2 linked regions of the Danio rerio genome follow. The protein of the gene in region 1 interacts with the protein of each later gene in a biochemical or structural test. Links are inferred from orthologs where the notes say so. Each region holds a gene or a part of one and is shown on either strand. Other genes may lie near its edges. The genes, in order: gopc and crhr1.

Region 1 (4,392 bases):
TACCTGAAATAATAAAAAGAATTGATTTGCATACATACACTGACACTTCGAGAAACTAACGCAGTTGTGTTTTTCTCTCTTCAGAGGGGAGAAATTGAGTTTGAGGTGGTTTATGTGGCTCCAGAAGTGGACTCAGATGATGAGAATGTGGAGTATGAAGACGACAGCGGGCACCGCTACCGTCTGTACCTGGACGAGCTGGAAGAGGCATCAGCAGCCAATCACAACAATGGCACTGCTGACCCCGCCTCCCTACAAGGCAAGTACACTGAATTGAAGGGGTAGTTCGTCCAAAAAAATTACATTTATATCATCATTTACTCACCCTTGACATGTTTGTCTTTATTTTTTTTTTATGAACACAAAAGAAGATATTTTAAGATAAACATGTAACCATTGACCTCCATACTATTTGTATTTCCTACTATGGAAGTCACAGGTTTTTAGCTTTCTACAAAATATCTTCTTTTGTGTTCAACAGAATAAAGAAAAAGTGGTTTGGAACAACTTGAGGGAAAGTAAATAGTGAGTACAGAGTAAATCCACGCAAGCTGTTAACCACCAAAATGAACAGCTTAGTAAATAGCCCTTTTACCGTCAGTCTAAGAAATAGACATTTTTATTTTATTTGACCAATTTCTTTGCTTGAATTGCGTTCCTGACACCACACTGAACAACATTTGCTTTTCTTTTAGCTTATAGCTCAACCAATCAATGGCTTCCAAGAACACAGAGAATGGACTCGCATTCTTATGGAGAGTGGTCTTGTCAAGTTACCTCGGTCTAGCACAGGACGTATCCTCTGAGAAATGAGATGTTGCGTTCTTCCAGATGGTCACATGACCTTCACGAATTTTATCTAAATTATTTCACGAAAATTATTTAAACATTACAGCATTCTTTTTTTTTTAATATTTATTTTGCCTTTATTTGACAGGACAGTATGTTGACAGAAAGTGAAGTGAGAGAGAGAGAGAGAGAGAGATGGATGGATGGATGGATGGATGGATGGATGGATGGACAGACGGACGGATGGATAGATGGATAGATTAAAGCAGTTTGAAAAAGATAGATAGATAGATGAAAGCAGTTTGAATATAGATGGATGGATGAAAGACAGATTGGAAAGACTGATAGACAGACATATAGATATCTATCTATCCATCTATCTATCTATCTATCTATCTATCTATCTATCTATCTATATATATATATATATATATATATATATATATATATATATATATATATATATATTTTTATATATATATATATATATATATATATATATATATATATATATATATATATATATATATATATATATTTCGGGAAAGTTCCTCGAGCTGGAATTCAAACTCGGGACGCCCGGAGTGCTGCTGCTAGGGGTGTGAACCTACACTGGTCTCACGGTCCGGTTAAGATTATCATGCTACGGTGGCCGGGAAGTGTAAAACAACATTACAAATTGTAAAACACTTTTACAAAGCTCAAGACAAATTTACATTTTGAAAAACATTTTACCTATCATCAGACACAATTACATAGGAAAAACTATTTTACCAAGGACGAAATAAATTAACATTTTTTTAAAAAAAATGAACAAGACGAAAAAACACTTTTACAAGTCCCGAAACTAATTTACAATTACAGATTCCTTATGGAAAGGTAATGTACCACACACTGGAAGTGACACACATATAAATGTGTCTGATGATAGGTAAAAAAAATTTTAAAATGTAAATTTGTCTCGAGCTTTGTATAAGTGTTTCACACTTTGTAATGTAGTTTTGCACTTCCTGGCCACCGTATCATGCCATCGATTCAGTTCAATTCGATATCTTGGTGCATCATGGTTCATTGACGATGCTTTTAATACACAATTAGATTTTTTTTAACACAAATGAAACATATTTTAGTACGAATTTCAGCAAATAAACACCCTTAATGTGTTTGTCTTTATTAAGATTTTCATGTTAAAGTTTACTTTCACCATCTCATATAGGGAAGTTATGTCTCTGCACTATAATAATAAACAGATATGAAATGCTGTACTTCTTATCTCCTTTCAAGAGTTCACACTTAGTTGATGATTGTTTATAAAGCTTGTTTGACTTGCTGTCCCGGGAGAGAGCCCTGAGCTCATAAGATCCTCGAGTCCAGGGTTCACTCCTGTTTGCAAGGCGAGAGGTTAGTTTGAGCTCAGGTAGATCTCGAGAACTCTTCTGCTGTAGATGCTAATGAACAGATAGTGTTTGCTCTTAAGAGATAACTACTTACTAGCAGCATGTCTAAGGTGCTGATTTGGAGTAGTCAATTAACTTAAGTTGCATGTTTTTGGACTGTGGGAGGAAACCGGGCACCTTGGAGAAACCCACGTGAGCTCGGGGACAAGGTGTAAACTCGGCACAGAAACGTTAGCTGGCATGGTAAGGACTAGAACCAGTGACGTTCTTGCTGTGAGGCAACAGTGCTAACCACTGGGCCACCGTGTCTAGGAAAGGAGGAGGAGTAGGGGTGGAAGGGGGTTTCTTCAAAACAAAGATGGCTGTTATATGGAACTTAGAGTGATTATAGAGGCTTAGGAATCGTCTGATTGGTGAATCATAAATTGGATAATGCAGGACCAGCCGCATGCAATCATAAGCACATGATCCTCTCGAAATTAGTTTATAAATAAACTTCACTTATTCAGCCACAATGAGTTCTGAGACTTCTCGAGCGAGTTCTACGATCAAGTCTGCATCAATGGGTCCTTGATATCCAAAACACATCCGGGTTCTTTCACACATCCTCCGTTCTTAAGTTTTTTAGAACTGAACTATGTGGATTGATGATGACTTTATATGAGAACACAATGCATATTGAGAAACAGCCATGGTCTGTTAAAGTAATCATTTAAAAAAAATGTAAAACCTTACTGTCCGCTTTTTTTTTTTTTGTATCCTTCCAGCTGTAGGGAAGCACTTAGTGAACAACAGAACAGAGAACGGAGACGTGGGCTTGTCCAGCGAATGCCCTTCAGACGACAAAACCTCCAAAACAGCAGAGTCTGCAGAGAGCTCATCCTAGACACTGAAAAACCCCCAGAAGAAAACGGCAGACATCAGTAAGAGATGAAGACTGAACATGTATAATATGTAACATATAGGAGATTCTTGGTTTTATTGCATATGGAGAACAGTCTGCTTTTACGTCCACTGGAGATTGAGGAACCACTGAGAAACACTGAGAGAAGAGGACATGATGGCACTCGGTGGATTATTATTATTTTTTGCTAATATTTGTCATCATTTTGGGTTATATAAAGGGACACAAAATGACCATCTGCGTTGGAGAGCGAGTAAATCGAGTTTATGGTATAACAATGTTGGATCCTTCTGTGTATCTTCCATAGATGAGCTCAAACTTTCACACTGTACTGAAGTAGATGGATATAGAATCGAGTTACTGTTTGCTCAGAATGTGTGTGTGTGTGTGTGTGTGTGTGTGTGTGTGTGTGTTTGTGTGTGAACATATGTTTCTAACCTCTTGATCGTGAGTCGATCCTGCTTGTTTGTCTTCTGATCTAAAGCGAAGGCAAACAGGATGATTTTACTTCCTGTTTTGCACACCGGGTGGTCAGTAGGTGACGGGGACAGAAACGAGTGTGTTGTATTAAACGTGCACATCCACATGTGCTTTCATTGGCTTGCTTTCTTTATTCAACAACACACTTTCAGGTTCAATTTAGCTGATTGAGGACGAGTTTTAGGGTGGATCTCAATGAAGTGATGTCTTGGACGTATTTTAAACTGAAGAATGTTATTATATTTACTAAAAATAATTTATGTTATATATATATATATATATATATATATATATATATATATATATATATATATATATATATATATATATATATATATATATATATATATATATATATATATATATAAACCTCCAATTGTATGTGTTTTAGGTATTATTTATTCATTGCAGGAGTCTTGACATGACTAAATTGGTAACACTTGACAATAACAGTACATGAATAATGATGTATTAATATATAAACTAAACATTACTTCATTATTCATAATGCGTGTTAATCGTTGACTTACTTTAACTACAACATGAGTCACATGAGTTCATGTGTGAATAACCGCTACTGTAATTACTTGTTAATGCATGATTGTTTGTTAATTAATGTATTTTTACCACATTAGTTTATGCCTAATTTAACCATCATGAACTATGTCCTGACTTTTCTTGGAGAGGCACATCATGATTAACCCATTCTTAACTACTCATGAACTCATTGTGCACGTCCATCTAGTGTGTTTACACTGAATAACAGTAGAAAAGTGGGTAACACTTTAGTTTAGGTCACAATTCATGCTATCAAGTACTTAC
Region 2 (4,261 bases), on another chromosome or scaffold:
TGTGGAGGGTCGTGCATTTTGAATCATTTCCTGTGTCTTTATAAAGCAACTAGAATGCAGACCTGCATTAATGCGATATGGAGAATGATTGAATATAGCCAGTTGTTCTTTTCGACACCTCTGTCTTGGACTTGCTGCGATTCCTGACCCTGAAAACAAATTTAAATCTAAAAAGGGGACAGTGTCTGGAAATACATGTGGAGGATTTGCTGTGCTGTCAGCTTTACATAAGAGTGGTAACAACAATACTGAAAACTAAAGTTCACCATGAGTTTAAGATGTAGTGTGTGTGTGTGTATACATATATGTTTTAGTGAAAAAAAAAGTATGTAACAAACCTAATTGATGCTATATTGTTTAGACAAAACTGTCCAGAATTTCTTTGCACTAGAAGGATCATTAGACGGAGAGCTGGATGGATCGAGAGATAAAAAGAGCTAAAGGATTATATGATTCCCTAGCGTTGCATAAAGTATAAAGCCAAAATAAGCACTTTTCGCCCTGGGGAAATGGGATGACAATTTTTTTCTAAATTACACTTATGCTAAATAACATACTTTTGCTTTGCATACTGACAAACAGATCGCATTCTCCAAAGCCATACAAAAGTGTGAATGTTCATGTTGAATGCACTGTCCATAAATGAGACAAAACCCCACCACTGTAGATAATGGCTCTCTTTCATACTGGAGGCACCTATTATTGAGACAAATTGGCATATCCTGTCACCTCTCATTCAAACATTTTAGAAAACCTTCAGATGAAACTTCATATTAAAGATTTGATATTATGTTTTATCTCTGCATGACAACCCATTCGCTTAAGACACAGTGAATGAGGGGTTATGCAACTCAATCAGTGCATCTATAATGCATTGACTGTAATCAATGTGCTAATTCAAACTTACTTCATGGCATTTTCTTTATTCAAACACTTTTTTAATCTCATGCAACCCAAATAGTTACAAAACAAAACTTTTAAATCTGTAAAAAAAAAAGAAAAAAAATCAGCGTACACCATTGCAAATTACCTTAAGGACAAATCTTTTACGCAAACATTACGGCATCAAAATGTTGATTTCACATCATAACTTTAGGATGAAAATAAGTGCCAGTGACGTAGACACATATCCATGTGTTTCAAATGCGCCCTGTTCCCTTCAGAGTCTACTCTCTTCGAGTGCTCCCCCTTTCAGACTGAACAGGGTGTAGTGATGCTCACTTTCGAATGGAATTCACTCATTATGAAGGCTGCTCGGTGTTGAGTCTCATGCCGCTGCGGAGCGCGCGCGCTAAACAGTGAACCGCCGGTTTGGTTAAAGACGCGCAGCCCGCGTGGGAACGGCACGGATTAGTTTGCACCGGCGAACTCCGCTCGCGCGTCAGCTAGACTTCTTACAGTTGTCACATTTTCTCTCGGACTACATTTTACCCGCACGCGCGCAAAATCTCAGCGTCTGTTCCTTTTATCCGCGCGCAGTGACGCCTCCTCGCTGTCATGTAGGGCTTCGTGTGAACGCTTTACCGTTGACCGATGGGACTCAAACAGAGGGTCAGTCAGTGCGAGGACGCAACGTGAAGAGGATCCGCCGTGTTAACAAGGAACGGATAATTTTGTAAACGAGATTAAAATTGTGGTAGTACTTTTGGAAAAGTTCAGTTCCAGCCGCAGGGGAGCAGGTCGAGACGCTTATCATATCTGGAAACACTGACTGGGTGTCGGGCGTGATTGGTGTCGTGATTGAAGCGCTTTACACCTGCCTCCCAGGACCTTAAGTAGTCAAACTCGACAGAAGATTGTTTATTGAGGATTAAGTGTCCACCGAATACCCCGAAACACAAGGATATGTCGCTTATATTAATAATAACTCCTCTGGAAGTGGGTGAAAATGAGGCAGCGATTCAAATGCGCGCATAATTCGCCCTGCTGATTTCCAGTTGTAAATGCTGCACTGATCATCCTCGGGGTGCAAATCTATTGTTTTTCGAGCAGAGGTCTGTCACCCCGGAGCAGAGCATCCGGACAGCTGCATCTGGAGCACGAGAGCGCTCTGCTGTTTGAAGGTTTCTGCAGAAAAACACACTGGAGCAATGAGTCGCATCCTCCATCCACAGGTACGACTATTATCCCATCAAAGCGTGTTTTAGCTTTACTGGAAACATGTTGTTTGTTATAAAAGCTACAAGAACTAAAACTCAAGAACATTTAATTGGTTAACTTTAATATGCTTATTAGTTAACTAGCTATGGTGTAAAAATGGTAGAAGACCGCATTGTGTTGTAAAACTATTGAAATTATGGGAGAAGAACATAAACATGTACATCATTATTATTAAAATCATGTTTATTGTTAAGTAGAGTTCCTAGAACCTTAAGTGCAAAGTGCCAGTGTGTTTTGGTCTCATTTAAAAAGTTAAATTGTTAATAGTTGTGCGTTCCGGTTTTTGTTGTGTCTTTAGTATTTGTAGCAATATTCTTTAATAGTGTGTTTTGTATTGTGTGAGTAACCCTGTGCTCTGTCACTTTGTTGTTGACAGTTACTATAGAATAGAGGTTAGTTTTTATTCAGCACATCGTGTTACTTTTCCATTGTATCACCCAACACCTGGGTTTGGTGCTAGCATCTTGTAAACAAAAAGATTTAATGCTTTAAGTATATTGGTATACTTACAGTCTAAATAATATATGCAGCTGTGAATATCATAAGTGACTGCAAAGCATTTTGTTCCTGGAAGTTGAACCAGATATTCAAAAACTTTTTTGTCGTTAAAACATTTCCAAATGTGTTTGGAATTTAATTAATTTCTTCTATTGAAAGTGACAGTATATTAAAAAGCTGTTTTTGTTCTAGTTTTACTGTGCTTTTTCTTTCACTTTTTTTTTTTTTTATCGCAGAGTAGCACTTAATGGGTGTCATTAAACTATTGCCTGACACTGAGATTTTAAGGGAAGCTGTGGAGGTAATTAATGACAATCCTTCCACGAGGGAGATCATTGCCAATGTGACTCAGCAGTGTGTGGGTGTGCTATTGAATTCTGTAGACAGTAAATACAAGCAGGGACAGGACACAATCCCCTGCCAGTCCTCAGCTGAGCTGCAAGACATTCTTTAAAGAATGTCAATTTCAGCTTATAATAGAAGCTTGGCACAGCATCACAAGCATATCATAGATTCGAAATAATGCGAAATGACATCACTTAAAGGTAAAGAGGAACAGAGCTGTTATTTTTAGCCTCAAATAGGATGCAGCGAGTTTATCAGTCTCTGCTCTGGACCGTGGCCCAGTCTGGCACCATTATGAAGTAATGCGCTGAAACTCTGACAGTCAAAACATACAAGCTTTCCGCTACCATTAATGTGCATTTTATCACTTTCAGCACTGTGGACAGCTGGAGCAGAGAGTGTTTTCCTCCGAAAAACCATTTGAGTGATGATTGATTTTATGAAAGTTTAGAAATACTGACTGAGTAAAGACACGGTAATGTGATTTTTGCTTTGCAGCTTTTCCAGAGTTGTGAAACGTCCCACGTGGCTGGCAGAGGTGCAGAAAAGCAATTAGGAATTCATACAAGCACTAATTGACTTATATTCATCTTTGCGTTGCATCAGCACATTGGTGAGCTTGCTGTGATCTGGCTGGGTATTTAAGTAAAGCGATATCTGCTTTTTACTCCTTAAACTGAAAGAATGATTCATTCCTGGTTTAGACAACATCAATTAAATTTTGCCACAATCCATCTGGGTGTTGTGGTGCTTTATAAACAACAATGGTAATTTTTCATAATTTAATCTTATATACAGTAATTTCCCAGTGGATGATAATCAGCGCTGTGCCTGCATCCTTTGATTTTATTAACATTTTTTTATTTAATTATTTTAATTAATAAAGACAGGGTTTTGTCTTATATGTGACAATGACCAAAAGGAGAAATTCTTCAGTTCTTCAAGATGACAAAATGAAAGACTGATGAAGTTATATGCGCACTTACTGTTGTTCACTTTCTTTTATTTCTGGTGGCTTTCCAATGGAGACATTGTGTGCTTATGCTCTAGTTTCAGGAAAACAATTGCTTGTCCCTCCTTCTCAATGACATCACACATGTAATTAAACGCAGTAACTAGTGATTGTTCAAAAAGTTACATCGTCGTCTGACATTACACATGCCATAAAAGATATCAAGCAGGGATTGTTCAGGAAATAAAGTACACTCAAAAAAATAAAGTACGCTGTTTGTTCACATAATTTATTTAAAATAAAACA

What was found.
Region 2: the proteins of gopc (region 1) and crhr1 form a complex in vitro, tested with the Homo sapiens proteins (2 studies listed by BioGRID and IntAct, with this or other methods). The link is inferred for Danio rerio from reciprocal best matches to the Homo sapiens genes GOPC and CRHR1.

Annotation. Positions count from the first base shown.
Region 1 is NC_133195.1:45,573,895-45,578,286, forward strand, and holds the end of gopc (Golgi-associated PDZ and coiled-coil motif-containing protein), read left to right. Parts: intron 1-84; coding exon 85-259; intron 260-2,953; coding exon 2,954-3,072; 3' UTR 3,073-3,690; downstream 3,691-4,392.
Region 2 is NC_133178.1:20,403,477-20,407,737, forward strand, and holds the start of crhr1 (corticotropin-releasing factor receptor 1), read left to right. Parts: upstream 1-1,236; 5' UTR 1,237-2,090; coding exon 2,091-2,114; intron 2,115-4,261.